Linked DNA regions of Xenopus tropicalis. The protein of the gene in region 3 interacts with the protein of the main gene of each other region in a biochemical or structural test. Links are inferred from orthologs where the notes say so. Each region holds a gene or a part of one and is shown on either strand. Other genes may lie near its edges.

Region 1 (7,851 bases), on a different chromosome or scaffold from region 3:
GGTTCAATCTTTTACAATGTAATAGCCAAGAGTTGCAATGTAGCAACAACAGGGTTGAAAGCACAGTTGTGGATTGGATCCCCATTTAAACCAACAATCTGTTATAGGAGAACCCAGTGTAAATCATTAATGATAGCAAAGCATGGTGCAACAATTTCAGTACTAGGCCAAGGAATTGTTAACTATATATCATTGTGTCTTGTGTCATTGTGCCTTAAAAACATTTTGCTTTACCTAGAGCTCCTGAGCTGGTGACCAGCAGACTGCAAAAAGACAGTATTGCCCACAAACAGACCATTACATTAACCATTATTCAGATTTATAAATATATGATATTGGCAATGGGTTTTATCCATTTAATTATAACAATATGTACCTGTTATCAAGATTGCTTGGGACTTGGGTTCTCCAAATAAAGGGTCTTTCTGTAATCTGGATTAAAGGGGCTGTTCACCTTTGAATTAACTTTTAGTATGATGTAGAGGGTGATATTCTGAGCGGTTTGCAATTGGTCTTCATTTTTTTAATTAAGTCTACTAAAAAATAATTAAGACTTAAAAGAGCCCAATAGAATTTTTACTTCCAGTTAAGATTCATTATATCTTGATCTTGGGATCAAGTAAAAGGTACTGTTTTATTATTACAGAGAAAAAGAAAATCATTTTGAAAATTTTGAATTATTTGATTAAAATAAGGGAGATATAGCCTTTCCCTGGTTTGGAGCTTTCTGGATATCAGGTTTCCATACCCGTACTGTATTTCTCTATTTTTTCAATATCAATTTATCTGCTGTGGTAGATTGTGATGTGTATAACAAAAGTAAAAGCATATTGCCACAATGATAATGTATGAAAACCTATGCAATAAGATAGGACAGTGCAGTCCAACTTATTACATGTAGTGGGCCAATTATTTCTCATCATCATTGTGTTCAAGGGCCTGATTATGTCACATAGTGAAGTCTACGAAGCTTTTGAGCAGACTGGGGGCATAAAACCCCTTGAAGAGCCATATCCATCCCACAGTCCTCCAGTTGGGATAGGAAATCACTGGAATTGGTAAACCCTGAGTACAACACTATGCCAATTAAGATTGAATGAATAAATTCTATATTACTATTTTACAACAGAAAACTTTTTGTGCTGTGCGTTGTTAGTACACTATAAAATATCTCATTTCCCAAAGTGCTTCATGTATGGAAACGTTTTTGAATAAACAGGATAAATGGAGCAGCCATTGCATATAAAGTATTACTATAATGATAACAGAATGTAAACCCTTGTCTATAAAGCAGATTAGAGAGTTTTCCTGCTTTAATCATTAAAGTTGATATTGTAGTAATAATCAGAGGTAAAACAATCATTTTCATTTGTTTGTAGATAAATAAGAAAAAAAGGTTATTTTCACAGCATGGCACTCATGTTCTCGGCTCATATTTAACACTTAACAATCCATTTTTAAATTTTATTTTTCCACCATGAAGGTGACACCCTCATGTCTTCCGAAATCACCCACTATTTATTTTCCTCAGCAGCTTTGTACACGACAATTCGCTGATGGTTTGTGCAGCCCAAACACCTGCATCTTTGTCCCGCTGGCATCTTTGTATGCAGCAATTTGCATTTCCATTCAAATTTGCCAAAACACAAGTGAGTACACAGTCCAGTGGATCTGTGGTGATCTTTGCAAATCTGTATATACATGAAAATAAACCATTAGCAAGCCAGGGAGATGATCACATATGCAGAAATACAGTTTCTCTTATTTTGGGCCTAAATGAAATAGCTATGTTTGGTTACATTATTATAAAATAATACTGACACTTTCATATGAAACAGGAATCGTTCAGGTCTGGACTGAGATTCTCAATGGGCCTTGGCATTTCAAGTACACACAGGCCCAAAAACAGTGACTGTCTATGGCATCTTAGAGCAGCCCCTCTGGCATTTGCCAAAATCCACAGATTGCCAGTCTGGAAAATCATGCCAATTCCACTAATTAAACAGCTCAGCATTTTTTTCATCCTTCTTTACCAAGCATTGTGCCAGGTAATACCTTTAAGTGTTTTTTTATCAGAGCTAACCAGTTACTGCAGGTGCATGACCCTCTGTCACCAGTGCTAGGCCTAAAACAGAGAGCACCCAAGGCTTATCCCCATCATCATTTATTTATATTAAGTAGAAATGCAATATTTTATATACTGAACTTACTGAACCAGTATAAAGGTACATCATCTCTATAGAACCAATGGCCTTCAAAGTTATCACAGGGGGTCACCATACTGGAAACTGTTAGAAAGGTCTGTGCCACATGCTCTGTGCAGCTGTTGAGAAGCTAAGCTTAGGGGTCATAGCAAATTATCAAGCAGAAAATTACATTTGTATGGCATAGATGGCAATGCTATAGAGGTGATTATTTCTGAAACTAATTGCTCTGGCTTCAGAGTTGCCATGTAGTAATTATCTGTATTAATTACATATCAGCCTTAAATTATGGCATTTATATTCTATATATACAGTATATTATACATTGGTCTCTGAGCTCAGTAACTGACAGCAGCACAGAGCATGTGGAGTGAATCAGCAGAGAAGAAGATGGGGAGCTACTGAGGGCAACTTTGGAGGCACAGATCTTCCCTGCTAAAGGGCTATAGCTGCTTGGGCTGGTACAGAAGCCCAAAACATTATGTACAACATTTCTGCCCTACTTCATTAGGCTTTAGTTCTCCTTTAATTTATAATGATCAGTGGTGTTACAGTAATATTTAACAAACAAGGGTTACTCAAAAAAAAAAAAAAAAGGATCACATGGCAATACTTGCTACAGCTTACAATCTAAAGCTCCCCGCCCTTGATCGCCCCCATATTACCATGGATCCCCCTCAGTGTGAGCTTGGAGACTGCCTGCCTGCTCTCCTGCACTGAATCCCACTGCAGGGAGCACATTGGCTAGCGGGGAGTTTTGGTGTGGCAGGCTCAAAAGCCCAAACCTGCAAGCAAGAGAGGTATGTGCTCATCGCACCCTTACTGTTGCCACTTAGGCACATGTCACTTCTGCCTACCTCTAGTTCCGGCCTTTCTATCACACAGATCTGCCACAGGACTGAGTTGTTCTTTAACCTGACAAAAAATTGCTCCACCCACATTAATTTGGTGATAAGTAACAAAGAGAAATTATATTAGCCTTACATTTCACATAGTGGGCGGTTCCTATTAAAGAACAGAATCACTCCTCATCCCCAGACTCATCCCTTCCTTTACTTTTCCGTCTTGAGAACAAGCCCATGATTAAGTCTCGAATGCTTCTGTTCCCAGTCATCTGACCCGCTGCACTTGCACTCTTTGGACGAGGAAGGCCCTAAGGGTGGAAATAACAGAAAGAATAATCATTTGCCCTCAAATGCATAAGTGCTTCTTATAAGTGCTTATTTCTAGATATATAACTCAAGCGTTTTTTTTTATTTTCTAAAACACTGTTTTTCTCATGCAAAATAATAAATTACATAGTATCCATTGTTAACATTTACTTAAAGAGGTGATGTTGCCCGTACCAACCAATCAGTAATTAGATTTGAACGGTTACCTATAAGTTAAAACAAAAACAAAAATCTTCTTGGTTGCTCTGGGCAACATCACCAGTGATGTTTGTCTTCAATGTTAGTAAAATGTTCAATAAAGTGTATATGTACAGTCTTGTTAAATAACAATTACTGTATATACTCGAGTATAAGCCTAGTTTTTCAGCACCCAAAATGTGCTGAAAAAGTCCCCCTCGGCTTATACTCGAGTCGGGTGCCATGGGTCCCTCCAGACTAGCACCCTCTGTCCTTTGTGTGCAAATTAGGCCACCTGCAACCAGACCCTCCAGTGCCCTGGTCTAGGCTCCCACTAGCAATACTTATTCCCCCTTACATCTCCTCCGGGACCGGGTCTGCTGCCAGTTTGCCAATGTGCAATGAGCGTGGGGTAGTACTCATATTGTTTTTGTTGACCCTCTTCTCCACTTACAGAGCTAGTTTACTGTTTTTCTTTGAAATAAATATTGAAAAACATATACCCCACTGATGCCTCAATTAATGTAATTTTATTGGTATTTATTTTAAAACTTAGCAGAAGCTGCTGCATTTCCCACCCTAGGCTTATACTCGAGTCAATAAGTTTTTCCAGTTTTCTTAGGTAAAATTAGGTACCTCGGCTTATATTCGGGTTGGCTTATACTTGAGTATATACGGTATTTAGAACCTTCTAAATTGTGCAGCTGGCCACTTTTTCCAGGCAGTGGATAGTATATTCAGTCTGAACGTCAACTAGGACAAGATTTGGGTTGAATCCTTTTTTTTCTGTACTAGATAATGCTGAAAGTATGGTGGGATGATAAGTATGACAATGTTTTTATTTACCTACATCGCTAAAGACATACGAGTGCTACTTTCTAGCTGCTCTATAGGATACTGAACTGCTACATGTAACTCTTGTAACTTGGCCCTCCCAGATAAATGGAGAAAGGGTCTCAGTTCTGAACTATAATTCTCTTGGGAACCAGTGGTTCTTAATCTGGAACAGTATTTTAGAATAGGTTAACACAAAAGAAAAATGGTTCTTTTGCATGACAGATTATTCATAGCAGATGCTCACATCACATTTCACAGTTCTACATGGTTATTATTTCTGATATAGGTGTCTGCCCATCATCATTCCTGTATCTCATAAAGCACCTCAAAGGGGTTTTACTCACTATCCCTGGGTCCTACACCCTTGAGTCCCTATAGTCTAGTGTGTTCATCTAGGAACTACCCCAACACTACAATCTCCTTGTTGGAGCACAGCACTGCTCATTCTAGATAACACTGTCTATCTCACACCTTTGGAGTGTGCCTTAACTGGAGCTACATGCACTCCACCTAAAGGTGGATTCTAAAGAGAATGAACCTTGGCATTTCTACCCTTTTAGAGAATATAAATCTGCCACACCCTGGGCCAAATGGGTACACCTTCCTCCCACAGGACATTACCAAGCACTGTTTCTAAGAATATAATTAACTAGATATTTGTGTTTCTACGGGCCTGTGGCATACATTGCATTTTGTCTGCAAAAGTAAATATGTTTTTTTTCTGCTTCATATCTGTGCACATAGACAGGAGTGGTATCCACCTGTCAGTGTGTACACAGAGTGGATCTTGGCCACAAAATACACACAACTGTTTTCTGGCTAAGATTTGTTCAGTGTGAGCACTGAGGATTACATTTTGGTAAATGTGCACAGGTACAGAGCAGAGAGGGGCAGAAGTGTTTCTTCCACCAACTTTAAAAGCACAAAGTGAGGTGTTTGTGAGTTGTAAGTTAAAAAAAAAAAAATCCAGGAAGCTGGAAGCCATAAACCAAAGAAAGTACCACTCATTTTGTTGCATTGGAAAAACTATTAGGAACAGAGATACTCCCTTTCTGAAGTATTAAATGATAAATATAATTGTGACAGTTAAATTGTTACCGTGAAGCTTTTTTCAAATTCATCACTCATTCTTCTTAACTCCCGTCCATATTTTGTAGCGATCATTGAAGACGGAGCAGAACGGGAACGGGAACGGAAAGGATGGAGCTCGCCCACTTTGTCTGTCTCACTGGACTCTGAAGCAGACTCAGTGCGTAAACGTGACTCCTTCCCTGTGATAGAGGTAGTATTATTAATTATGCTTTTGTTGTTTACAGGGGTACAACTATTTCAGTATATGCTATAATTCACTTACTAGTTTAAAACGGCTGCTAGCAGCACTGTTATTATTACCCTTTATTTATCACTAAGACATTTACAACATACTTTCCAGAAGTCACTGCCTGCCTATATATTTTATCTTATAGCAAGTCAGATTTCAATATTACAGATGGCATAATGCTTATGAAGAAAGATGAAATACATATTTTCTTGGCAGAAGATCACCTGGGTATCTTCGCAGGCTGGGAGAACTCTTAGCTACAGGTTGTCGAACGCCTGCCCCACGAGGGGGATCCACAAAAGGCAAAGGTAATCCCTGTTCCTCATTATCGAATTCCTCTAACTTGAAAACTGCTGAAGGGGATGAATCTGCCATCTAAAAAAGAACAGAATAATTTCAGGGAGTTATACATACATATATACTGCTAATTTCTATTTTGATAAACCTAAGCTGTTTCCACATGTCTCATTTAAAATGTAACAGCATCAGTCCTGTCACAGTGTTTGATATTTGTCTAGTAACCCATAGCAAGCAAGGTAGCTTCTACTGGCTGCTACGGGTTACTAAATGTGGCAGAAGTTAAGGCTTTTTTTAATTCCAATGCCTCATTTGCGCTTTTAAATTCAGTGGGAACTTTTTATGAGGGTGTTTAATTTACCTAGGGAAACTATATATAGTTTATTGGCTTCTTTTTCTTCAAGGACAGCCTATGATTTTGTGAATGCTTGCGTTATTCACTTCTGTAATGAGATATAGGACTACAAGAACCTAAAAAATGAAATCATTTTTCAGACTGATGACAATGATTGTAAAATATTTGGGAAGGAACATTGATTTTTTTGGAGGATGAATCTGGATTAAAAAGAATACAGAAAGTAGCTCTTTTTTTCTAGCATACAAAATTATATTTAATAAATTAAGCATTAAAAAGCTTCATATTGCCATGCACTGGATGGGACCACATCTACTGACCATAAAATCATGGAAACAACTGGTAAACCAGGCAATCCCACTAATTAATCTTACCTCAGAAGCGAGAGGAACACAGACTAAATTTGACCTGATTTGGACCCCGTGGATTGAAGCAGGACTGGACTGAACCTACATAACATGTACTATAACCAAAGTGATATGCATATCTCTATTTGCACATAGTATGGTTGTATCACTGGCCAACCAACTAAAACTAATGTATTCTGCAAATGTTTGGCATAAATGTCTGTCTGTTGTTAATAAAATTATACCTATATAAAAAAAAGCTTCATATTAAAGTAGGAAGTACAATGACCAATCACCACACCTTTTGTTTAGTGAATACACTCACTTGTTGCACTGTGCTACAGTGTTTGGGAGAGATTGCCAAGAGAGTGGATCTTCTCCTGATATGCCCACCTATGGGGTGGGTGATATCGGGCTAATTCAGTTGTTTGGCCCTAGAGCCAAACAATGGAATTAAAACAGTGGGAATAGGCGCCTTAGGTTCGTGGACCACATTAACAAGCCAATGTGGTCCCCGATCTAACAGAAAAATCAAATCTGCCCGATCGAGATCTGGCCCGTCGTTCATGCTAATACATGGGCAAATAAGCTTCCGATTCTGTCTAAAGGATGTATGGCCACCTTTTTAGTGTTTAGTCCAACAAACAAAAAGCTAAATGATTAAAAAAGGAACTGAAAATTGTGAATATTAGTTGTAAATTGCCTCAAAATACCACTGTCTACACAAAACTAAAGGTGAATTTAAAGGTGACATCCATACTAGCAGGCATCAGGTATGATTGGCTGAACTGAGAAGGTCAAACCAGACACTGACACTTTGGTTACACAGTGATATAGGCGGAAGTGGTCAGATAGCATAATACCTTACTGACAAGGTTATAACAACACCTTGAGAACAGTACTTATATGAACCTACCAACTTCCTTGTGCGCACACCTAAGTTCCCAACTCCTTGTCAGCTGGCTATAGTGCATACTAACGGGGTGGGGCCCTTTAACGAGAGTTTAAGGTGCTGCAAATGGCACCAGCAGCCTAAACAACAGGCTCTCTGGAAAGACAGATTCTGCTATGTGTTGAAAGCTATACTAGGGAAAATAGTTTTGTCTGTTAGTGTGGAGGAAACACAGGATGCAGATGCAGC
Region 2 (7,851 bases), on a different chromosome or scaffold from region 3:
GCAAGAAACAAAAGTTTCAGTTACTGCTGTAAAATGTCCCAAGTGCTTTATGGCAGCACCCACCTGGGTTCTGTTTGGATAGGAAAAAAAAAGGGCTAAGAGCTCTCACCTTGATGTGCCCACCCTCGTATTCATAGGGGTATCTGCAGTCGATAATCACACAGCGCTCAATCGTGTCCTTATACTTCCCACTCAGCACACAGTCCATCTGAAAGAACAAAACAGAATAAAGTCATGTAATGATGTCATAAAAATGACAGCAACCAATCAGATACTTCTGACACAAATACTGCCTGCTGATTGGTTGCTATGAGTTATTAGACACGGTGTATGGTTTTCAAATTGAACCCTACCTCCCCACTGTATAAGTTCTATGATCAGATCTTGGAGACAACATACCATTTCAGGAGTGATGTATTTCAGATCTTGGTGTTTCCCTTCCACTGTTTTCAGTAAATACGCCTGGAAAATAAGAGAAATGATGTCAATTTGGTGCATAAACTTCTGAATCATTACTAATACCCTCGGCTCGCACCTAAAGGTCTATCCATTGCATCTATATTTTCCCTTGGAAACGCAGGGCTGACAATAATCAGTTATTCCACATGGGCTGGATTCGGTTAAACCAATGATATCATACATACATGTCTATGAAGTTCTTGGGCATGCTGGGGGGGTCAAAAAAATCTGTTGGGAATGGCCACACCCCCTCACCTCCCCTTCACCCAGTTGGACAGCTCTGGCTGAGGATAATATAATATAAAGGTGATGGGTAAAAGGGTAATTTGCTGCTTCTCACCTTTGAGGAATCACCAATGAGCTCTCTCTCATCGTTGTCCAGTATCTTTTCCACGGTAGCGAGGCACACAGACTTGGACCTTCCCAACTTCATTTTCTACATTGAAGGATGAATGATAAATATTAAGGAAAGAGGGAAAATGGCCAGTATTTGACATTCTATTACCGGTCGCTATAGCAGAAGACATGGACATAGCTGCTATACCCCCAAATTCTGGCCAACAATATAGTCTAAACCTCTAAGGCCTGATATGTCTTTTTTGCCTTCCTCTGAATCAACTAGCAGTTAGGCAGGTTATATACAGGCATTATGGTTGAACGTGATGGACCTTCGTCTTTTATCAACCTAACTTACTATGTTACTATGTCTCTGCCCCCAACCTACAGCAACTACTGGACAGATATCACTCTTCATGGAAACAAAGGGAGACACCTGAAGGCTAAGGCCAAGATGGTCAAAGGCAGCTGAAGACCTATTTAATATTCTATTGGCCAGGGATGTGCCCCGAGTGAAAGAAAGAACTCAAAGGTTCTACATACCGGTTCCTCGTTCTCCGGCCATTCTTCCGAATGTGACTGCGGCAAGTTCTTCAACCTCTTTGACTTCACAGGGGTCTCACCATCCTCTGGTCTGTCCAATCGTTTGAGTATGGGCCTGATGATGCTACTAGGCATGGAGGGTGATCGGAACAGCCGGCGGCATTTGCTTTTAATAATCAGATCCTGGGGGAAGATGGAAACACAGTTCCTAAATAGGAGCAAGGGAACTCGTTCCTTCACAGCCAAAAACTGACGGACAAATAGATCCACTAAGTATGGAGAGAGACGGCTGACGGATAGAGAGGGCTGACATACTTACCGGGTCACTCTTGTCTTCTTTGTTGACGAATGGGGCAGTCAGCAGATTCCGCATTCCAGAGGGAATATCAGTCTGCAAAGGGGGGGACACAAAGTGTTAAAAAAAAATATAGTTAAGTGCAAAAGTGCTCAGAAGAGCACCCTAAGCTAACTGACATAAACTGATATGGGTGGGTATATGTCCCCTTCATTTTGTACCTTTATCTCTTCATCATCCATAATTTCCATGAATCCGTCATCGTCGTCATCGTCATTGCACAGAGAGAAGGTCAGGGAGGATTTGCGTAAACGGATGGGACTCTCGTTTTCCATTTCAGAGTTGATCTTGTCAGGGCTGAAAAACTAAGGGTGGAGAAAGGATCGCGTTATCGATCAGATCCGGCAAATCTAACAGCGGAAGAAGCTGGCTGGATCGCGGTCACGACACAAGGAAAAGTACCTACCATGAGAGTGGGGGCGGAGTTTGGCCTTTCGGAAAAAGCCTCTCTGTCGCTGCAGCCATCGAAGGTGCGTAGCCTGGTGCGGAGGAATGGGCGCGGCTTCTTAAAGAGAAGTAATTCCTGTGGACAGAAACATACAGGGTTAATGTTTAGATGCCTAGCAACGATCCATCTTGAAATTGTAGATTGTAAGCTCTTTTGGGCAGGGCTCTCTTCACCTTTATATGTTACTCTGTATGTGCAATGTATGTAACCCACTATATGTTGGCGCTTTATAAATAAATGTTAATAATAATAATAATGTATGGAACCTTGGGATATTTATATAGGGGCCCTTTGACTGTTATAGGTTTAGAGCCACATGTATAGGACCATAGGCTTTGACTGACCACATTCACAACAAAAATGTAAGTTATGTTTTTTTAAATACCCCTCCCCCAGGCTTATAAAGGTCAGGCATGGGTTAAAGGGCAAGGCATTCCTTCTCCATCATCAAACAGGCACAATCTGCACTTCCTGTCTGTGCAACAGGTGAGACTTACATTCTCCTTATTGTCTTTCTCCGCTGGGATCTTCTCGAGGGGTTTGGGCAGATCCAAGTCCAACGGGTGGGAGAGTCTTCTGAGAGCGGGGCTGCCCCCCTGGAGAGTCTCCTGTGTACAAGATACCTGATCATTTCATATACTGTGACCAGCTTTTATGCCTATATGCAATCAGATACCCCCTCCCCCCCCCAGTAAGCATAGCGTTATCCTTTATATAGACTATTAAGGTATTCCTAAGTATGCAGGAGCTGCCATGATGATCCCCTAGCCCCGCCCAGTAAATGGTTTGCTAAAAAAAGGCGGAAATTAACTTACCGGCAAGGAGTGGATTCTTCTGATTGGGAGCTTGATACTGGAAATTAAGAAAAAAGGAGACGGGTTAGAATAATTCTATGTCTGAACCCCAATAATGGAATCACCCTATTGGCACTGCAGAATGTGGGCCTTATTCGCTAAGCAATAATGTTATTAATGGTCCAATAAAAGCTTTATTTAGCTGTAGGGAGGGGTATTATCTTGTAAGCAGCAGAAACACCCAAACACGCCTTTAAATAAACATTTGGTATCAGCGGCGTTTAGAGAGCTGCGCATTCTCTCTGCATCGGGGAACGGCCCTAACGGCACACGTCGGGATTAAAAGTGTTTACTTATCCTTGAAAACAATGTGCAGCAGGATGTACGACAGGGGAAAAAATACATTGGCTAAATTTGTCTTTTAATTAAGTGCCCTTTAACGTTTACAGCACTGCTGCCCGCAGAGGCCTTTGATGTTGCTATGGGAGAAGCTGCTATATAAAATACACCAATAAACGTCGCCTACACTGTCCCTATACTTACTCGTTGGGGGGGATTCTTGATTCAAAAATAACCTTTTCAAACCTGGAAAAAAAAAGAGAGAGAACGAGTGAAAATGGGTATAAATGAGTCTCGCCCGGTATTGATCTGGGGTCCCTTCGCCCTGATAATTACCCTCATTTACATCCAGGAACAGCGCCCCCCTGACCTATTTTGTCTGTGCATGCAAATGATAAATAAAAGAAAGCAGAATAAATGCACAAAAGCCCCCTCGCTTGCCCCCCCCCGCCCTGATACAGGGGCTGTAAATGGGTTTAATGTGCCCCGGCCTTTTCTATAGCAGGGGTTTAAGGGTCACCGCTCCCCACCTGTATGTAAATGTGCGGCTTTGTTTGGCTCTGCACCCAAGCCATATGTCCCAAGGAAAGCATCAGGCTCGGCCCCCCTGCCTGGGGGGGGGGTAGGGGGATCGGGAAGGGACAAGTGTGGCATATCAAAGCCTCTATTCAGCCCATTCATGCACTAGGCAGCAGGCCGACCCCACTAAGCACGTGCTGCAAGCCCCCCCACACCAAGGACTGGCAGATGGAGGCTCCGTGCAGCCCCAATTAACTCAAGCATTCTGCAAGAAAGGGCAGATTATACTTTAGCCGGGCTTTGTGTCTTGGGCAGATTGCATTCAGCCACCTTAAATACAGGCACCTCCTCCAACCCATTCATAGCCCCTTCTCCGCTGGGGTGGGGGGGCCTGCAGTGCAGGGCTTTTCTATTGGGACAATAACTGTCTGTGGGGAGACAAATAACCCCCATAAAATACACTCCTCCACCTTGCCCCCCCTATACAAGAGAAGTGCAAGCCCATGGGGGGTAAGAGACTTCAGTGCCTAATTCTTTTTAACTATAACTGCTAAAATCCTTCAATAGACCCCCCCCCCCACCCTTTTACATTCAGTAAATTCATAGACATGAGCAATCTTAGCAATGTTAACTTCCCCTTGAAACTAATCAATGCCATTTCATTTTCATTAAGCCTTATCTATTTGGGCAGGTTGCCCTGTGCCACCCACACTACAGGGGGGCATAGGTAAAGGAATCTGGGGCCAAATGTCCTTTGCTATTCCAGCCCAGAGTTTGACCCCATCTGCCCCATCACTTGAGTCAGGACAGGTGCTGAACTGGCTGCCCAGCCATAATACCCTCATTCACTGGTGAACAAATACCTAATACAAGGGTTTGGACAGTCTGGGGGAGGGAGGTGCATATCATACTGCACAGATGCTCTGATATTTGCCAAAGGACAGAGAATTGTCAAACACTCGATATGTATCTGCCCCAGCCTCACCTGCCGACCAACTGTCGCCTCCAATAAAACCATAAATCAAGATAAGAGACATTTCTGCTTCTTTTTAACTCACAGGATCTGCTATGTGTGTTAAACAGTATGGATGTGTCCCTTCCTGCACTGGCGGTTCTGACTCTTGCCACAATGTAGCACTAAAGTCTTATTCACAGCTATATTATTCAGGTGTCAGTAGCAGCAGTGTAGGCAAAAGAAAGGACCAACACTGCTTTCCATAGTAATTACAGATACCGATAATGCTAAAATAGTAACTATCCTGCCTCATAATTAAAGGATCAGTAACACCAAAAAATGAAACAGCTTTTAAGTAATAAAAATATAATGCCCTGTTGCCCTGCACTGGTAAAACTGGTGTGTTTGCTACAGTAACACTACTATAATTTATATAATAAGCTGCTGTGTAGCCATGGAGGCAGCCATTCAAAGGAGAAAAGGCACAGGTTACATAGCAGATAACAGATAAGTTCTGTAGAATACAATAGTGTTTTATCTGTTATCTGCTATGTGCCTGTGCCTTTTCTCCTTTGAATGGCTGCCTCCATGGCTACATAGCAGCTTATTTATATAAATTATAGTAGACTTTCTGAAGTAAACACACAACTTTTACCAGTGCAGGGCAGCAGCACATTATATTTTAGTTACTTTTATACACTTTCATTTTTTGGTGTTACTGTTCCTTTAAAAACAACAAAGATCCACCACAAACAGTCTCAGGATGTGACTCTGTACCATATGATCAGGTCGACTTCCCTTCACTGCTGGTTTCACTATAAACACAAACAGGATGCGACTAATGGGGCAGTTGGAGAGCAGGAAGCATTGGTTACCCTGGAGGGGGGCATAACTGTTTATACTATACTATATACTAATTATATCCTTATAAACGATTAAAAGTGATGTCATCAGTTATGATGGGAGCTCGGTAATATAATTTCTGTCACATGACTCACCAAACCGTGTATATTATAATAAAGTACCCCCTTTGTAATATATGAGGATATTAGAAGTTACCTCGGAGTTCCATGACCTGTATAAATGACCTCAGCCTTCTACCTTTATATGGACATGGAACTCCTCGGGGACTTATAATATCCCTATATGTTACAATAGGGGGCACTTTATTCACTATATATTATAAGGAACTCCTCGGGGACTTCTAATATCCCTATATGTTACAATAGGGGGCACTTTATTCACTATATATTATAAGGAACTCCTCGGTGACTTCTAATATCCCTATATGTTACAATAGGGGGTACTTTATTTGCTATATATTATAAGGAACTCCTCGGGGGCTTATAATATCCCTATATGTTACAATAGGGGGTACTTTATTCACTATATATTATAAGGAACTCCTCGAGGGCTTATAATATCCCTATATGTTACAATAGGGGGTACTTTATTTGCTATATATTATAAGGAACTCCTCGGGGACTTATAATATCCCTATATGTTACAATAGGGGGTACTTTATTTGCTATATATTATAAGGAACTCCTCGGGGGCTTATAATATCCCTATATGTTACAATAGGGGGCACTTTATTCACTATATATTATAAGGAACTCCTCGGTGACTTCTAATATCCCTATATGTTACAATAGGGGGTACTTTATTTGCTATATATTATAAGGAACTCCTCGGGGGCTTATAATATCCCTATATGTTACAATAGGGGGTACTTTATTTGCTATATATTATAAGGAACTCCTCGGGGGCTTATAATATCCCTATATGTTGCAATAGGGGGCACTTTATTCACTATATATTATAAGGAACTCCTCGGTGACTTATAATATCCCTATATGTTACAATAGGGGGCACTTTATTCACTATATATATATATATATATATATACAGAAAAATAATATATAAGATACACTCTCTTAAAATTGGGTGCACATACTGTACACCCCCTTCATCTTCAGCCGCTCCTCACAACAGACATCTTCCTGCCCTCGCCTCTTTAATGTCAAACCACACGGGCCAACCAGAGAGCTGACTACGCACTTTAAACCCACAGAACACCCAGTACTTGTCTGTTTCCCATATGATATTAAAGGGGACATTGTCACTACATCTTTAACGGACCAAATCCAAACACCTCCCCAAGCAGCTTCCCTATATTTGTTCATTATAAAAGTGCCCATGGTTTTATTTGGAACTGCAATTCCAGCTGAGAGAAGTATCTGTCTATTTCTCTACTCTGTTTGCCCGACTAAAGGAACAATGTATGAGGCTAAATCTCTAGGGCCCACAATGCCTTGTACGCTTCTGTTATTCTCCTTTTTTCCTCTCAAGCGCGAGTGACAGGGTTAAATCCGCACAGTTCCCGGCTAGGAATGTACATTTGAATTCCAGAGCCCTCCCATCAGATGCAAAAAACCCCAATACCCCGGCCTGTCCCCTCCCTACACTGCAGGCTTTGTGGATCAGTAACATGAGTTTGCGTCCCCTGAATGAAGGAATCATATTTCTCTCTGGGAGCCCTGCCAGTTGGATGGGGACTTTAAAACAAAAGAGGGCTGTGAAGGAGCCCGAGCCGGGGGCCCCATACACCCTGCAGTTGTTCAAGGAGTTAAAAGGACGGCAGCTGTTGGCTTAGAAGCAGCTGCTGTTGCACATACCAGCACAGACTGCACGGGTAACAAGTGACACTTAGCAACTGTCTGCGTGTCTCTGTGCCAATGCCCCCCAACCCCCTATTAGAACTGATAAGGATTTTACTATACGTTGCCAGTGCTAAATTGTCTCCATTATGGGCTTTTGCCCTAAAGGTCCCTATACACCATAAGATGTCACCAAGCAAGCGGATCTTCTCCCGATATCCCCCACCTACGGGTGGGCGATATCGGGGGAATCAAGGCTAATTTGATCGTTAGGCCCTGGGGCCAAACGATGGAATTATAACAACGGGCATAGGAAAAGTCAGTCCAGGGACTGCATCAACGAGCCAATGCGGTTCCTGATCCAACTAGATTTTCTAACCTGCCCAATTGAGATCTGGCCGATCTGGCCAGATATCGGTCGGGCAGGCCCGTCGGTAGTGCCC
Region 3 (7,242 bases):
TAGGCAAGTATCAAAAACAAAAATAAAAACTAAAAGTTAAATAGAAGGGTTTTGTTTTCCTTTTCTGCGGCGCTTGATAGAGAGTGGAAATATGGATACCAAGCACGGAGCGTTTAATGAGTCAAGTACTTTTTTTGTTTTGATCTTAGGTGGTTGAAAAACGATTTAAATACAAATAAGGTGGAGAGTAGCAACTTGAAACAAAAGCAGAAGGTTTAGGGAACTGGGAATGGTAACCGGGGTCCTTCCTCCATGGCTACTAGTGGGACAGGTACTTGCCTTCTCAAAGAACATTCAGTAAAAAGAATAGGCAGAGACTTGGAGGGTATAAAAGCTTTAGCGGAACATGAGGCAGGTTTCCTGCACCCATTGCGCTTTAGGAATGTCAAAGTCTGTGCCCACAGCTCTAACAGGGATATCCAGCTGCTGCAGCTCTTACAGGGCTACACCTCTATAGCATAGGCAGCCCCATAACAGCTGAGGGAAGGGTTAAACACCCCTGCAGATGATCCCTTCGTTTCCATGATTTTACCAGAAGTACTATGCCAAAACACTTAAAACATGTATAAAAATTCAACATCCCTAGATTGGCCACCTTAAGAGAGAAAAAAAAAATATATATATCTCCCCCAAATATTAACTGGCTCTATTCCCTATTATTAAACACAAAAGCCACATGGGAAATATAGAAGTCCAAAGAGAAGTAACATAAACCGTAATTGTAAACAAAACAAAAACAAAAAATAAAATTAAAAAAAAAAAAAACAAAACCTATTTGTGGGACAGTAAGGATGACGAATGGTCTATTGTGTAAATTTTATGAGGCAGACAAAAAGGAAGGCTGATTAATTCTCCCCTCCTTCTCCTTGTTCAGCTTCATCCCCTTGGGTGTCTGATGTCCACAACTACAATAAAATAAGATTAAAAAAATTAATAATTACAAAATGTTTCTCTTTGCTTTGTTATCCTTTACAATAACCTGATGCCAATCTCTAATTATACTTAATCACCCCCACAAGCATCAGTAAAGCCATGGGAGCTGCATATAAGTGGGTGCTCCTTCCCACGGGTATACATTCACAATACGAGGTATAAAAGGTACAAGGTACAAAAAGGTAGAATTAGCGGGATAGGGGTGCTAATTTGTTATTCCCTCACCCACAGAATGTAGTCACTATCCCGCTACCCTGGGCTGGCACAGGAATTGGGTGCTAATTTGTTATTCCCTCACCCACAGAATGTAGTCACTATCCCGCTACCCTGGGCTGGCACAGGAATTGGGCGCTAATTATTCCCTCACCCACAGAATGTAGTCACTATCCCGCTACCCTGGGCTGGCACAGGAATTGGGCGCTAATTATTCCCTCACCCACAGAATGTAGTCACTATCCCGCTACCCTGGGCTGGCACAGGAATTGGGCGCTAATTTGTTAGTCCCTCACCCACAGAATATAGTCACTATCCCGCTACCCTGGGCTGGCACAGGAATTGGGCGCTAATGTTATTCCCTCACCCACAGAATGTAGTCACTATCCCGCTACCCTGGGCTGGCACAGGAATTGGGTGCTAATTTGTTATTCCCTCACCCACAGAATATAGTCACTATCCCGCTACCCTGGGCTGGCACAGGAATTGGGTGCTAATTTGTTATTCCCTCACCCACAGAATGTAGTCACTATCCCGCTACCCTGGGCTGGCACAGGAATTGGGTGCTAATTTGTTATTCCCTCACCCACAGAATGTAGTCACTATCCCGCTACCCTGGGCTGGCACAGGAATTGGGTGCTAATTATTCCCTCACCCACAGAATGTAGTCACTATCCCGCTACCCTGGGCTGGCACTTCTCTTAAAAAATACACTTAGAAAAAAGTGTACCCCGAACAGCTCATTTATCTAAAAAAGCCATTTCCATAAAAGTATACTTTTTAGTAGTATGTGCCACTGGGTAATCCTAAATAGAAAACCATTTTAAGAATTAAGGGCCGCCTCCTGGGATCAGAGGATTCACAGTGCACACAAACAAGCTAAGGCACACATACATGCTAGGCCCCATCAGCCAATGAATGGGCAGAGTTCTCCCACACTACTTCCTGGAAAATTGCCATTTTAAGTACCAAGGGCCATACGACTCATGATGCACACAAACACACCAAGGGCACACATAAGCCAATGAATGGACAGATTTCTGCCTTTTGCTCCCACACTACTTCCTGTTACAGTTAGAGTTGCATTATTTCCTGTCAGCTGATCTCTGAGGGAGCACACAGCCCATCGGGGGTATAGTTAATAATAATAATAATAATAATAATAATATGTGCAAATCAGGATGCTTTGATGAAAGCAAAGCCTCATTGACTTACTGTTAAGTTGTCTCTCAGTAACTGCATTATTAATGTGCTGTCTTTGTAGGACTCTTCGCTCAAAGTGTCAAGCTCAGCAATGGCTTCATCAAAAGCCTAAAATGGCAGAAAAGCAGAGGTTATTGCGGATAACTGCTGCTGGTGCCTGGTAATGCGCCGGCAGAGCGAGACAAAACACTTACGGCCTTTGCAAGAGAACACGCTTTCTCTGGACAATTGAGGATCTCATAATAGAACACAGAGAAGTTCAGGGCCAGACCCAATCGGATAGGATGTGTTGGTTGCATTTCAGTTTTGCTGATGTCAAAAGCATCTTGATATGCCTTCTGTGACTGGGCCACGATATCTAGCAACACAGAGTCACATGTTAGATTGCATGTACATTCTGCTTATATTCCATTAAATGTAAAGTGGGCACCAACTGAAAGACTAAAGAATCTGTGTTACATTAGAGATTTACACTTTTCATGCTCTGAAATTCCAAAACCACATTCCACCCCAGCAACGGTGCATTCAGAAAACACAAGCTGGATAAATAGGGCAGATTTTTGGCAATTGGTCTTATGGACAAATATCTATGGTTCCGTTTCTGGCACCAAAGAAAATGCACACTTTTACTTTAGCACTTCCTGGTTCTGTTGTGGGCAGGAGAAGCTGATCACACTAATTACCAGGGCACTGAAGCCCTCTGATAATGAGCTGCTCAAAGGCTGGAGAAGCTCAGGAAAGGAAGGGGTTTATTTGTTCAGAGGCAGATAATCTCTGAATCTCCCCCCTCTACCATTATAAACATGGCAGTGAAAAAACAGTGAAAAAAATAGTGCTTTATAAATGGTAAAAAAAAAATAGGCAAAATGCATTCTAAACACTAACTGTGTTGTGGTTCTTTTGTAAACTAGGGCAGTTTTTGTCAGACTTTCAGTTTATGTCCCTTTTGTTACAAGGGTTAGGTCATGGCCCCTCTTAACAAGGAATAGCAAAATATCTGTGTATTAGCCATTTTCCCAAGAACATTTAGGACAACAATAATGTTTTCACCCCAAATCTCACCCTAACAATTTCATGCTGGGCTTTCTGGCGTATCTTGGAGGCCTTTGTAGTAAAAAGTCCCCTCCTGTTCCAAGTCCCAGAGTTTGGGACCCAATAGATAAAGCTAAAATAACATGTCAGGACAGTCAGGTTGGCTTTAAGTAACAACTACTTACAAAAGCAGCCGTATCAGCGGAAAATGCTCAACCTGGCCTATAGGTACTCATGTGAAAAAAATTAGGAAATATGAAACTATGAAACCCTGTGTGTTCTTGTAACATTCTTGAACATATGGATATTTAATCTCAATTTCAACAAAACAGGGAGATTCAAGTAATATAACTAAACAATTAAAATTGAAGAAAATACTTCTGTAAAATGTAATTCTACAAAGTGCCATTTCTGGTGAAGAATAAATCAGGACACCCCCATTTAGACCCACTTAAAATGGCTGAAACAACACACAGGTGTATCCCATCAGGTGCACATGATTAGAATATGGTTACTCAGCATTTGGAAGGAGCTTTGCCCTAGTTAAACCTCAGACATTTAGTTTGATTGTACCTGACTGGCTGGAAACTAAGAAATGGAAATTTTGTGGCTGTACAACCTCTCAAACATCTACTGAGTTACTGGGTGATGCTTCACCATTTTCATAGCACCATTAGAGAACCATGCCCCCTCCAAGGCTGGTGCTTGAGTAGTGCCTGAGCTGAAGGATAAGCTCCTAAGGATGCAGTCTACGCGCAACAACACCCACCTGCCTTTGCGTCGCCAGAAGCTACTTCAGCCAAGTAACGATAATAGTCACCCTTCATTTTCAAATAGAAAACTTTGCTTTCCGGTTGTGATGCGTTGGCAATCAAGAATTTGTCCAGAAGATTCTGCAAAAGACAAAAAAAAAATGCAGGTTCAAATACAGTGATATGGGAAATACACATTCAAAATCTGTGCGTCAGGTACATTGGCAGATGCCAGCAATTCCAATAGCCCAGCAACACAAAGGGAAGGAACCACAGAACAGAGAGAAAACAATAATTAGATAATTACATTCAACATAAACTTTCACTAAAGGGTAAATAGTCCCAAAAACTTGCAATTAAAAAAAAAAAAAAAGGGCAATTCTAAGCAACTTTCCAATATTCCTTAAACATGCAATAATTTTAAGTCATCTTTTAATGCAGTACAGTAATATGCTTTATGGCTAAATTCAGATCTCCCTTCCCCCCCCCTTTTTTTTTTAAAGAGGCAGTATACTTCCCACTTCAATGAATAGGGCTTGTGCTAAACCAGTGACCCCCAACCAGTGGCTCAGGGGCAACATGTTGCTCCCCAACCCCTTGGATGTTGCTCTCAGTGCCCCCAAACCAGGGAGTTATTTTTGAATTCCTCACTTGGGGGCAAGTTTTGGTTGAATAAAAACAAGATTTCCTACCAAATAAAGCCCCTGTAAGCGGATAGTGTGCATAGAGGCCCCTAATAGCCAATCTTAGCCCTTATTTGGCACCTCCATGAACTTTTATGGTGCTTGTGTTGCTCCCCAAGTCTTTTTACATTTGACTGTGGCTCACGAGTAAGAAAGGTTGAGGATCACTATGCTAAACATTATTTGTCTACTGTGCTGAAGGGGATATACTGTTACTTTAAGGGACAGTAACAAGTTTTAAGTTTTTATTGTACCTTCAGAACAATGGCGCTACTTGAACATAACGGACCAAAAAAAAAAACAAAAAACTTAAGAATTAAAAGGGCAAAATGCTGGAATTTTGACAGGAATTATGCACGTCTATTGTACCAATTCCTACATACAACATACCCCCCCCCAACATCTCTTTGGATGACAGCTCGTGCAGGACTGCACAGGTCCAGCTGGGCACACAAATGACCCGCTTTTTGCCATTCGCCATGTAACCCGGAAGTGATCCTACGGCAGGACATTTCTATTATAAATGGCCCCTATCTAAGGTACTGCATGATTGGAAAGAAAGGGAGCAGTTTGGCATTAAAGCCAACAGCTTGTGAGTACTGGTGCATACCAAGTGCAGCTGCACTGCCCCAGGCGCACAAGAGAAAGTGGTACGCCCCAGCCAGACCCAAACAATAGCATTTAGCAGATGCCCACAGGACAGATGAATGTTTAGACAAGGAGACTGGATGTGAGGGGTACTGTCTTTTTACAAATCCTGCATAGGGCAAAGTAGCCGGGAATAGGTGGCCTTGTGTATTAACACTGACAACATGAGCCCGTTATGCTCCGGCTGAGATCAAAGCACAGAACACACGAGAGAGACAGGGAATTTACAGGAGGCATGTGGCGCTCCCGGCAAGTTCAGCAAGCTGTTGGAATTTCACACACTTTCCCAACGAGTGGCGTAAAGATGTGCGTCACACCAACCTCATGTCCTAATCTGATTAAGGAGTATTTTCAGATCACTTTTTACTAGGTCATTAGATGGGTACTGTATGGGCCAGATGACATTCTGGTTTCTCCTAAAAGCCTAATTGCCCTTAGCATGGGCAGTCATCAGGTTCCCCGGCCAAGAGGCAATTTCACAGCAATTCTTAGTATTTGGCAAATTGTGTCGGAATAGCGCTCTTTACGACATACTAAAAGTTAATTGAAACGTGAACAAGCCCTTAAAGGGCTGTATTACAAGAGTCTTTGGATAGTGGCGGCTCCCAAAATGTTGCTGAATAGCTTCCCATTCCAATATGTTTGGATGTGGGACCTTATGCCTTGATTCAATGCCCTGTGGCAACACTTTGTGACCCTGGACTAGTCACACTCCTAGCCTACCAGCATACTTAGTGCGCCTATCATGAGTGCTTGGCAATAAGTCCCACAGGAGAAAATCGCTATATAAAAACAGATTCCCAATCACGTTTTGTCTCACAGACACTTACTGGGGGGCATTATAACCCCATTGCTCAACAAGAGCTTTAGGGCAGTGACAGACGGGGAGATTAGCCGAAATCGCCGGAATTGGCGTGAGAGGAAACTTTGGCGATTTTGGCGCCGCGTATGCCATCCCACCGGCGATTTACATTCTAGCTGGTGGGATGGCATTTCGGGGAGATTAGTCGCCCACAACAAGCGAGATTTGTTGCGGACGACTTATCTCCCTGTCTGCCACGGCCCTAAAATATAATGTACTGTTGCCGTGCACTAAAGGTCATGCATTTGCTACAGAAAGACCGCTATAATTTATATCCACCCCCACCCACCTTATGCTGCCTGTGTGTGCCATACTCTACCCGCCCTACCCTGCCTGTGTGTGCCATACTCTACCCGCCCTACCCTGCCTGTGTGTGCCATACTCTACCCGCCCTACCCTGCCTGTGTGTGTGCGCCATACTCTACCCGCCCTACCCTGCCTGTGTGTGTGCGCCATACTCTGCCCGCCCTACCCTGCCTGTGTGTATGTGTGTGCGCCCTACCCTGCCTGTGTGTATGTGTGTGTGTGCCCTACCCTGCCTGTGTGTATGTGTGTGTGTGCCCTACCCTGCCTGTGTGTATGTGTGTGTGTGCCCTACCCTGCCTGTGTGTATGTGTGTGTGTGCCCTACCCTGCCTGTGTGTATGTGTGTGTGTGCCCTACCCTGCCTGTGTGTATGTGTGTGTGTGCCCTACCCTGCCTGTGTGTATGTGTGTGTGTGCCCTACCCTGCCTGTGTGTATGTGTGTGTGTGCCCTACCCTGCCTGTGTGTATGTGTGTGTGTGCCCTACCCTGCCTGTGTGTATGTGTGTGTGTGCCCTACCCTGCCTGTGTGTATGTGTGTGTGCCCTACCCTGCCTGTGTGTATGTGTGTGTGCCCTACCCTGCCTGTGTGTATGTGTGTGTGCCCTACCCTG
Region 4 (7,851 bases), on a different chromosome or scaffold from region 3:
GTGTGCCATCTGGGTACAGCCTGGCGCTGCCATATTCTGCCGCTGTGGGGCGCTGACCGCTTTCCCACCATTCACTTAAAGGGGATAAACACCCTCAACTCTTAGTATGATGTGAAGAGAGAGCCATTCCCCCGTCTTTGTAATGTGATGTAACCCTGAGAGCCCCCATTACTCAGCTCCCCCCGTCTTTGTAATGTGATGTAACCCTGAGAGCCCCCATTACTCAGCTCCCCCCGTCTTTGTAATGTGATGTAACCCTGAGAGCCCCCATTACTCAGCTCCCCCCGTCTTTGTAATGTGATGTAACCCTGAGAGCCCCCATTACTCAGCGCCCCCCGTCTTTGTAATGTGATGTAACCCTGAGAGCCCGGCCCCCATTACTCAGCGCCCCCCGTCTTTGTAATGTGATGTAACCCTGAGAGCCCCCATTACTCAGCTCCCCCCGTCTTTGTAATGTGATGTAACCCTGAGAGCCCCCATTACTCAGGGCCCCCCGTCTTTGTAATGTGATGTAACCCTGAGAGCCCGGCCCCCATTACTCAGCTCCCCCCGTCTTTGTAATGTGATGTAACCCTGAGAGCCCCCATTACTCAGCGCCCCCCGTCTTTGTAATGTGATGTAACCCTGAGAGCCCCCATTACTCGGTGCCCCCCGTCTTTGTAATGTGATGTAACCCTGAGAGCCCCCATTACTCAGCGCCCCCCCGTCTTTGTAATGTGATGTAACCCTGAGAGTCCCCATTACTCAGCGCCCCACCGTCTTTGTAATGTGATGTAACCCTGAGAGCCCCCATTACTCAGGGCCCCCCCGTCTTTGTAATGTGATGTAACCCTGAGAGCCCCCATTACTCAGCTCCCCCCGTCTTTGTAATGTGATGTAACCCTGAGAGTCCCCATTACTCAGCGCCCCCCCGTCTTTGTAATGTGATGTAACCCTGAGAGCCCCCATTACTCAGGGCCCCCCCGTCTTTGTAATGTGATGTAACCCTGAGAGCCCCCATTACTCAGGGCCCCCCCGTCTTTGTAATGTGATGTAACCCTGAGAGCCCCCATTACTCAGGGCCCCCCGTCTTTGTAATGTGATGTAACCCTGAGAGTCCCCATTACTCAGCGCCCCCCCGTCTTTGTAATGTGATGTAACCCTGAGAGCCCCCATTACTCGGTGCCCCCCGTCTTTGTAATGTGATGTAACCCTGAGAGCCCCCATTACTCAGCGGCCCCCCTCTTTGTAATGTGATGTAACCCTGAGAGCCCCCATTACTCAGCTCCCCCCGTCTTTGTAATGTGATGTAACCCTGAGAGCCCCCCATTACTCAGCGCCCCCCGTCTTTGTAATGTGATGTAACCCTGGGAGCCCCCATTACTCAGCTCCCCCCGTCTTTGTAATGTGATGTAACCCTGAGAGCCCCCATTACTCAGCTCCCCCCGTCTTTGTAATGTGATGTAACCCTGAGAGCCCCCATTACTCAGCGGCCCCCCTCTTTGTAATGTGATGTAACCCTGAGAGCCCCCATTACTCAGCTCCCCCCGTCTTTGTAATGTGATGTAACCCTGAGAGCCCCCCATTACTCAGCGCCCCCCGTCTTTGTAATGTGATGTAACCCTGAGAGCCCCCATTACTCAGCTCCCCCCGTCTTTGTAATGTGATGTAACCCTGAGAGCCCCCATTACTCAGCTCCCCCTGTCTTTGTAATGTGATGTAACCCTGAGAGCCCCCATTACTCAGCTCCCCCCGTCTTTGTAATGTGATGTAACCCTGAGAGCCCCCATTACTCAGCGGCCCCCCTCTTTGTAATGTGATGTAACCCTGAGAGCCCCCATTACTCAGCTCCCCCCGTCTTTGTAATGTGATGTAACCCTGAGAGCCCCCATTACTCAGGGCCCCCCGTCTTTGTAATGTGATGTAACCCTGAGAGCCCAGACCCCATTACTCAGTGCCCCCCGTCTTTGTAATGTGATGTAACCCTGAGAGCCCCCATTACTCAGGGCCCCCCGTCTTTGTAATGTGATGTAACCCTGAGAGCCCCCATTACTCAGGGCCCCCCGTCTTTGTAATGTGATGTAACCCTGAGAGCCCAGACCCCATTACTCAGTGCCCCCCCTCTTTCCTTTGCAGAAGGACGAAGTGTACCTCAACTTGGTGCTGGACTACGTTCCCGAAACTGTGTACAGAGTGGCCAGACATTACAGCCGGGCTAAGCAGGCGCTCCCCATGATCTATGTCAAGGTAAGTACCCCCACTAAGCTGCATGGCCATTGGTCTGTGTGTGGGGGAGATATAGCTGGGCAAACTGGGGAGCCAAAAGGGTTAATGGGCTGGCATGCCAGGCTGTGTTGTATATAGGGATCATTGGGCAACAAGGTGCTACCCAGGCCTGTGGGTTCCTGTATGCCCCTGAGCCTGCACCTCGGTACCCAGGGGCCACTCACCCCTCTCTGTTCTTGCCCGGCAGTTGTACATGTACCAGCTGTTCCGCAGTTTAGCCTACATCCATTCCTTTGGGATCTGCCACCGGGATATCAAACCACAGAACCTTCTGCTGGACCCAGAAACTGCTGTACTCAAGCTGTGTGACTTTGGCAGGTAAGTGCTGCCCCTTCATCTTGTTGCCCCTGGCATTGTTGCCACTTACCCCTGCCAGTACCAGGAGCCCTACTTACCCAGCTGGGTATCATATAATGGTTATCCACCTACCCCTGCCAGTACCAGGAGCCCTACTTACCCAGCTGGGTATCATATAATGGTTACCCACCTACCCCTGCCAGTACCAGGAGCCCTGCTTACCCAGCTGGGTATCATATAATGGTTATCCACCTACCCCTGCCAGTACCAGGGGCCCTACTTACCCAGCTGGGTATCATATAATGGTTACCCACCTACCCCTGCCAGTACCAGGGGCCCTACTTACCCAGCTGGGTATCGTATAATGGTTACCCACCTACCCCTGCCAGTACCAGGAGTCCTACTTACCCGGCTGGGTATCGTATAATGGTTACCCACCTACCCCTGCCAGTACCAGGAGTCCTACTTACCCGGCTGGGTATCGTATAATGGTTACCCACCTACCCCTACCAGTACCAGGGGCCCTACTTACCCGGCTGGGTATCATATAATGGTTACCTCCTACCCCTGCCAGTACCAGGGGCCCTACTTACCCGGCTGGGTATCATATAATGGTTACCCACCTACCCCTGCCAGTACCAGGGGCCCTACTTACCCAGCTGGGTATCATATAATGGTTACCCACCTACCCCTGCCACTACCAGGGGCCCTATTACCCGGCTGGGTATCATGTAATGGTTACCCACCTACCCCTGGGCCCTACTTACCCGGACACGCCTGACGTGCCAGTGAATTCCCCCAGCTAATTGTGTCTCGGGGATAATGAGATCACTTCCCTGTGTGGGCAGATCGTTGGCACAGAGTAGGCGGGCAGTGCTACGATTAGCAGCGCTCTATGTATAACCCCCCTTTGCCATTAACCCTCGGCTGTCAGTAGCCGTGTAACCGCTGTACTGCTGCGGCCTTACCTGCCCCCCGTGCAACTGATTTGCTGTTTATAGGAAGGGACTGGGGTAAATGTGCTTCATGGTGCCCGGTGCCCACACTGTACATGGGGTTCAGCTGTACCCCGCTCCCGGCTACACGCAGACTCTCGCTATAAGTGTTAATTCCAGAGGGGGCGCTGCCTGTACAGTCTGTTGTTCCGCTCTGATATCCCTTGTGTCTGTTTCAGTGCCAAGCAGCTGGTACGCGGAGAGCCCAACGTGTCCTACATCTGCTCCCGGTACTACAGGGCCCCAGAGTTGATCTTTGGAGCCACCGATTACACTTCCAGTATTGGTACGTTCAGCCCTTTGCTCTTTCGTGGCTTAGAAATGTTACCGTGTGTTATTCTGCATTGTGCCACTAGGGGGAGCATGCAGCGACCACTATAGGGGAATCCTCTAAACACTTTGGATAACGGCAGTGCTGCAAAGATTACGGATATTACCAAGACCTGCCCTAGAACTCTCCTGTAACCATAGCAACCCTTGCTTTTGCTTTATTGTATGGCTTACATTTACCATAGACTCACACACTGGTACCAGTCATTGCCTGATATTTGCTCCTTCTCTCCCCCCCCCAGACGTGTGGTCAGCAGGCTGCGTATTGGCCGAGCTGCTGCTGGGTCAGCCCATCTTCCCTGGGGACAGCGGCGTGGATCAGCTGGTTGAGATAATCAAGGTAAGAGAGCAGGTTGGAAGGTTGGTTATACTGTCAGTATGTTATAGAATGGATTATTCTTAGCAACTTTTCAATTGGTCTTCATTTTTTATTTGTTGTAGTTTTTGAGGTATTTGCCTTCCTATTCTGACTCTTTGCAGCTCTCAAATGGGGGTCACTGACCCCGGCAGCCAAACCCTATTGCTCTGTGAGGCTCCAGTTTTATTGTTATTATTACTTTTTATTCCTTATCTTTCTATTCAGCCCCTCCCCTATTCATATTCCCGTCTCTCTCTCAAACCACTGCCTGGTTGCTAGGTTAAATTGGACCCTAGCAATAGTTACTATTCAGCTGTGCTGCCAGTTAAAGGGGTAGTTCACCTTTACATCAACTTTTAGTAGACAAAGACATTGATAATCTGAGAGAAATTGCAATTGGTCTTTGTTTTTTAAATTTTTTTATTGTTTCAGATTTTTTTTTAGCTTTTTGTGTTCTCTGTTTGGTATTATAGCAACTATGTGGTTGCTAGGGTCTTTTTTACCCTAGCAGCCAGGCAGTGGTTTAAATGAGAGATGGGAATATGAATAGGGGAGGGGCTTTACAGGAAGATAAGGAATAAAAAGTAACAGTAAAACTGGAGCCTCACAGAGCAATAGGGTTTGGCTGCCGGGGTCAGTGACCCCCATTTGAAAGCTGCAAAGAGTCGGAAGAAGAAGGCAAACAATTAAAAAACAATGAAAAATAAATAATGAAGACCAATTGAAAAGTTGCTTAGAATGAATAAATTGTAGGGGCTTTATAAAGTCTAATATATAGTGAATAACACACCCCCTGTTGTATAATATAAGGATATTACAAGTCACAGAAGGGTTCCACGGCCATATAGAGCGCTATTACACTGGTCATGGAACTCCCAGGGGACTTCTAAAATCTTCCTATGGTACAAAGTTACATTATTATAATGCACCCCCTGTTGTGTAATATAAGGATATTACTAGTCACAGAAGGGTTCCACGGCCATATAGAGCGCTATTACACTGGTCATGGAACTCCCAGGGGGCTTCTAATATCTTCCTATGGTACAAAGTTACATTATTATAATGCACCCCCTGTTGTATAATATAAGGATATTACTAGTCACAGAAGGGTTCCACGGCCATATAGAGCGCTATTACACTGGTCATGGAACCCCCAGGGGGCTTCTAATATCTTCCTATGGTACAAAGTTACATTATTATAATGCACCCCCTGTTGTATAATATAAGGATATTACTAGTCACAGAAGGGTTCCACGGCCATATAGAGCGCTATTACACTGGTCATGGAACTCCCAGGGGGCTTCTAATATCTTCCTATGGTACAAAGTTACATTATTATAATGCACCCCCTGTTGTATAATATAAGGATATTACTAGTCACAGAAGGGTTCCACGGCCATATAAAGCGCTATTACACTGGTCATGGAACCCCCAGGGGGCTTCTAATATCTTCCTATGGTACAAAGTTACATTATTATAATGCACAAGTGAGTCACGTGACACTTCTAGCCAATGACGTTGCCGAGCAGCGATTATAAGGATATGATTTGTGTATAATACAGTAATAATCTCCCGCTTCTGCCCATAAACACAAATATATTTGCGCATTAGAACTTGTTTTGCTCGGGGCAGAGCGGCACTAATCCCGTCGCTGCAGGTAAATGGAATATTAAAGCTGATTATCTACCAACCAGGCGTGGGTTATATAAAGGCAGCCCCAGTGCACTCTGGGTACAGTTCCGCAGCACGTTAACCAGCTGGGTGTTAGTCTGTCACTGACCTGTCCGGGTAGGTTAATGGGGGATAATCCTGCCCCCCTTTATTATAAGCAGTAGCCAATGTGACTGCTGCTCACTAGTACCCTTAATGCCCTCTAAATGCCCCACGTCTGTAGCTCGGGGGGGCGGGGGCAGGGCTCTGGTTTGTACTTGCCCCTCCGCACTGTGTCATGCAGGAAACCGGGGAGATTTGCAGATTCCAGAACAAGCAGAATCCTGCACAGCGACACCTGAGACTTCCCATAACCCCCCAGGGCTGCTGATACCACCCATCTGTGGCCCCCAGGCCTGGCAGCGTGCAAGCAAGGATATGTACATGTCAGCCGGGGGGGGGGGGGGGCATTTCCTCCCAGTGTAGGGAAAAGGGTGAACTTACTAATAGTATCTCTCTGTACAGGCTATGAGCAAACCTAGGGGGCTGTTCCTGCTGAATTGTGCTTAGTACAGGGGAATCCCTATGTGCCATAGTTTTATGGTATCTCTCTGTACAGGCTATGAGCAAACTTAGGGGGCTGTTCCTGCTGAATTGTGCTTAGTACAGGGGAATCCCTATGTGCCATAGTTTTATGGTATCTCTCTGTACAGGCTATGGGCAAACTTAGGGGGCTGTTCCTGCTGAATTGTGCTTAGTACAGGGGAATCCCTATGTGCCATAGTTTTATGGTATCTCTCTGTACAGGCTATGAGCAAACTTAGGGGGCTGTTCCTGCTGAATTGTGCTTAGTACAGGGGGAATCCCTATGTGCCATAGTTTTATGGTATCTCTCTGTACAGGCTATGAGCAAACTTAGGGGGCTGTTCCTGCTGAATTGTGCTTAGTACAGGGGAATCCCTATGTGCCATAGTTTTATGGTATCTCTCTGTACAGGCTATGAGCAAACTTAGGGGGCTGTTCCTGCTGAATTGTGCTTAGTACAGGGGAATGCTAATTAACTAATTATTTGTGTGACAGTGTCGCCTCCCTTCGAGGCCGTTGGCACCCAGGAAATCTTAACTCTGCTCATTCTGCTGCTTTCTAATATGTCACCTCCGTGCCATGGCGTCGGCGCTATATTTAGCTTCCATTGATGCCCTTCAGCTTCTCCGCCAGGGGTGAGGGGAGCATCACAAGTGCTAGTGACGTAACCCCTGGGAATATGGGTAGGGGGTGCCATAGTGTTTCCCTTAGACAGTACAGTATGGGGGTACAGCTTATTGTGTGCCCAGAACATTCCTTCTCTGTATATTTGTATTTATACATATGGGTAGGAGGTGCCATAGTGATTCCCATAGACAGTACAGTATGGGGGTACAGCTTATTGTGTGCCCAGAACATTCCTTCTCTGTATATTTGTATTTATACATATGGGTAGGAGGTGCCATAGTGATTCCCATAGACAGTACAGTATGGGGGTACAGCTTATTGTGTGCCCAGAACATTCCTTCTCTGTATATTTGTATTTATACATATGGGTAGGAGGTGCCATAGTGATTCCCATAGACAGTACAGTATGGGGGTACAGCTTATTGTGTGCCCAGAACATTCCTTCTCTGTATATTTGTATTTATACATATGGGTAGGGGGTGCCATAGTGTTTCCCTTAGACAGTACAGTATGGGGGTACAGCTTATTGTGTGCCCAGAACATTCCTTCTCTGTATATTTGTATTTATACATATGGGTAGGAGGTGCCATAGTGATTCCCATAGACAGTACAGTATGGGGGTACAGCTTATTGTGTGCCCAGAACATTCCTTCTCTGTATATTTGTATTTATACATATGGGTAGGAGGTGCCATAGTGATTCCCATAGACAGTACAGTATGGGGGTACAGCTTATTGTGTGCCC

Evidence for each region. The genes of interacting proteins can lie anywhere in the genome.
Region 1: the proteins of ywhaz (region 3) and bad form a complex in vitro, tested with the Homo sapiens proteins (3 studies listed by BioGRID). The link is inferred for Xenopus tropicalis from reciprocal best matches to the Homo sapiens genes YWHAZ and BAD.
Region 2: the proteins of ywhaz (region 3) and cdc25b form a complex in vitro, tested with the Homo sapiens proteins (2 studies listed by BioGRID and IntAct). The link is inferred for Xenopus tropicalis from reciprocal best matches to the Homo sapiens genes YWHAZ and CDC25B.
Region 4: the proteins of ywhaz (region 3) and gsk3b form a complex in vitro, tested with the Homo sapiens proteins (2 studies listed by BioGRID). The link is inferred for Xenopus tropicalis from reciprocal best matches to the Homo sapiens genes YWHAZ and GSK3B.

The regions. Positions count from the first base shown.
Region 1 is NC_030680.2:35,250,846-35,258,696, reverse strand, and holds part of bad (bcl2-associated agonist of cell death), read right to left. Parts: intron 6,087-7,851; coding exon 5,936-6,086; intron 5,662-5,935; coding exon 5,489-5,661; intron 3,358-5,488; coding exon 3,226-3,357; 3' UTR 3,189-3,225; intron 1,692-3,188; 3' UTR 1-1,691. UniProt on the Homo sapiens protein: Promotes cell death. Successfully competes for the binding to Bcl-X(L), Bcl-2 and Bcl-W, thereby affecting the level of heterodimerization of these proteins with BAX. Can reverse the death repressor activity of Bcl-X(L), but not that of Bcl-2.
Region 2 is NC_030677.2:15,565,304-15,573,154, forward strand, and holds part of cdc25b (M-phase inducer phosphatase 2), read right to left. Parts: intron 3,521-7,851; coding exon 3,479-3,520; intron 2,994-3,478; coding exon 2,957-2,993; intron 2,750-2,956; coding exon 2,639-2,749; intron 2,217-2,638; coding exon 2,100-2,216; intron 1,999-2,099; coding exon 1,855-1,998; intron 1,730-1,854; coding exon 1,658-1,729; intron 1,522-1,657; coding exon 1,339-1,521; intron 896-1,338; coding exon 800-895; intron 463-799; coding exon 400-462; intron 209-399; coding exon 110-208; intron 1-109. UniProt on the Homo sapiens protein: Tyrosine protein phosphatase which functions as a dosage-dependent inducer of mitotic progression. Directly dephosphorylates CDK1 and stimulates its kinase activity.
Region 3 is NC_030682.2:130,811,522-130,818,763, forward strand, and holds part of ywhaz (14-3-3 protein zeta), read right to left. Parts: intron 4,275-7,242; coding exon 4,151-4,274; intron 2,708-4,150; coding exon 2,544-2,707; intron 2,458-2,543; coding exon 2,362-2,457; intron 906-2,361; coding exon 846-905; 3' UTR 1-845.
Region 4 is NC_030678.2:1,891,672-1,899,522, forward strand, and holds part of gsk3b (glycogen synthase kinase-3 beta), read left to right. Parts: intron 1-2,115; coding exon 2,116-2,226; intron 2,227-2,452; coding exon 2,453-2,583; intron 2,584-3,736; coding exon 3,737-3,843; intron 3,844-4,129; coding exon 4,130-4,227; intron 4,228-7,851. UniProt on the Homo sapiens protein: Constitutively active protein kinase that acts as a negative regulator in the hormonal control of glucose homeostasis, Wnt signaling and regulation of transcription factors and microtubules, by phosphorylating and inactivating glycogen synthase (GYS1 or GYS2), EIF2B, CTNNB1/beta-catenin, APC, AXIN1, DPYSL2/CRMP2, JUN, NFATC1/NFATC, MAPT/TAU and MACF1.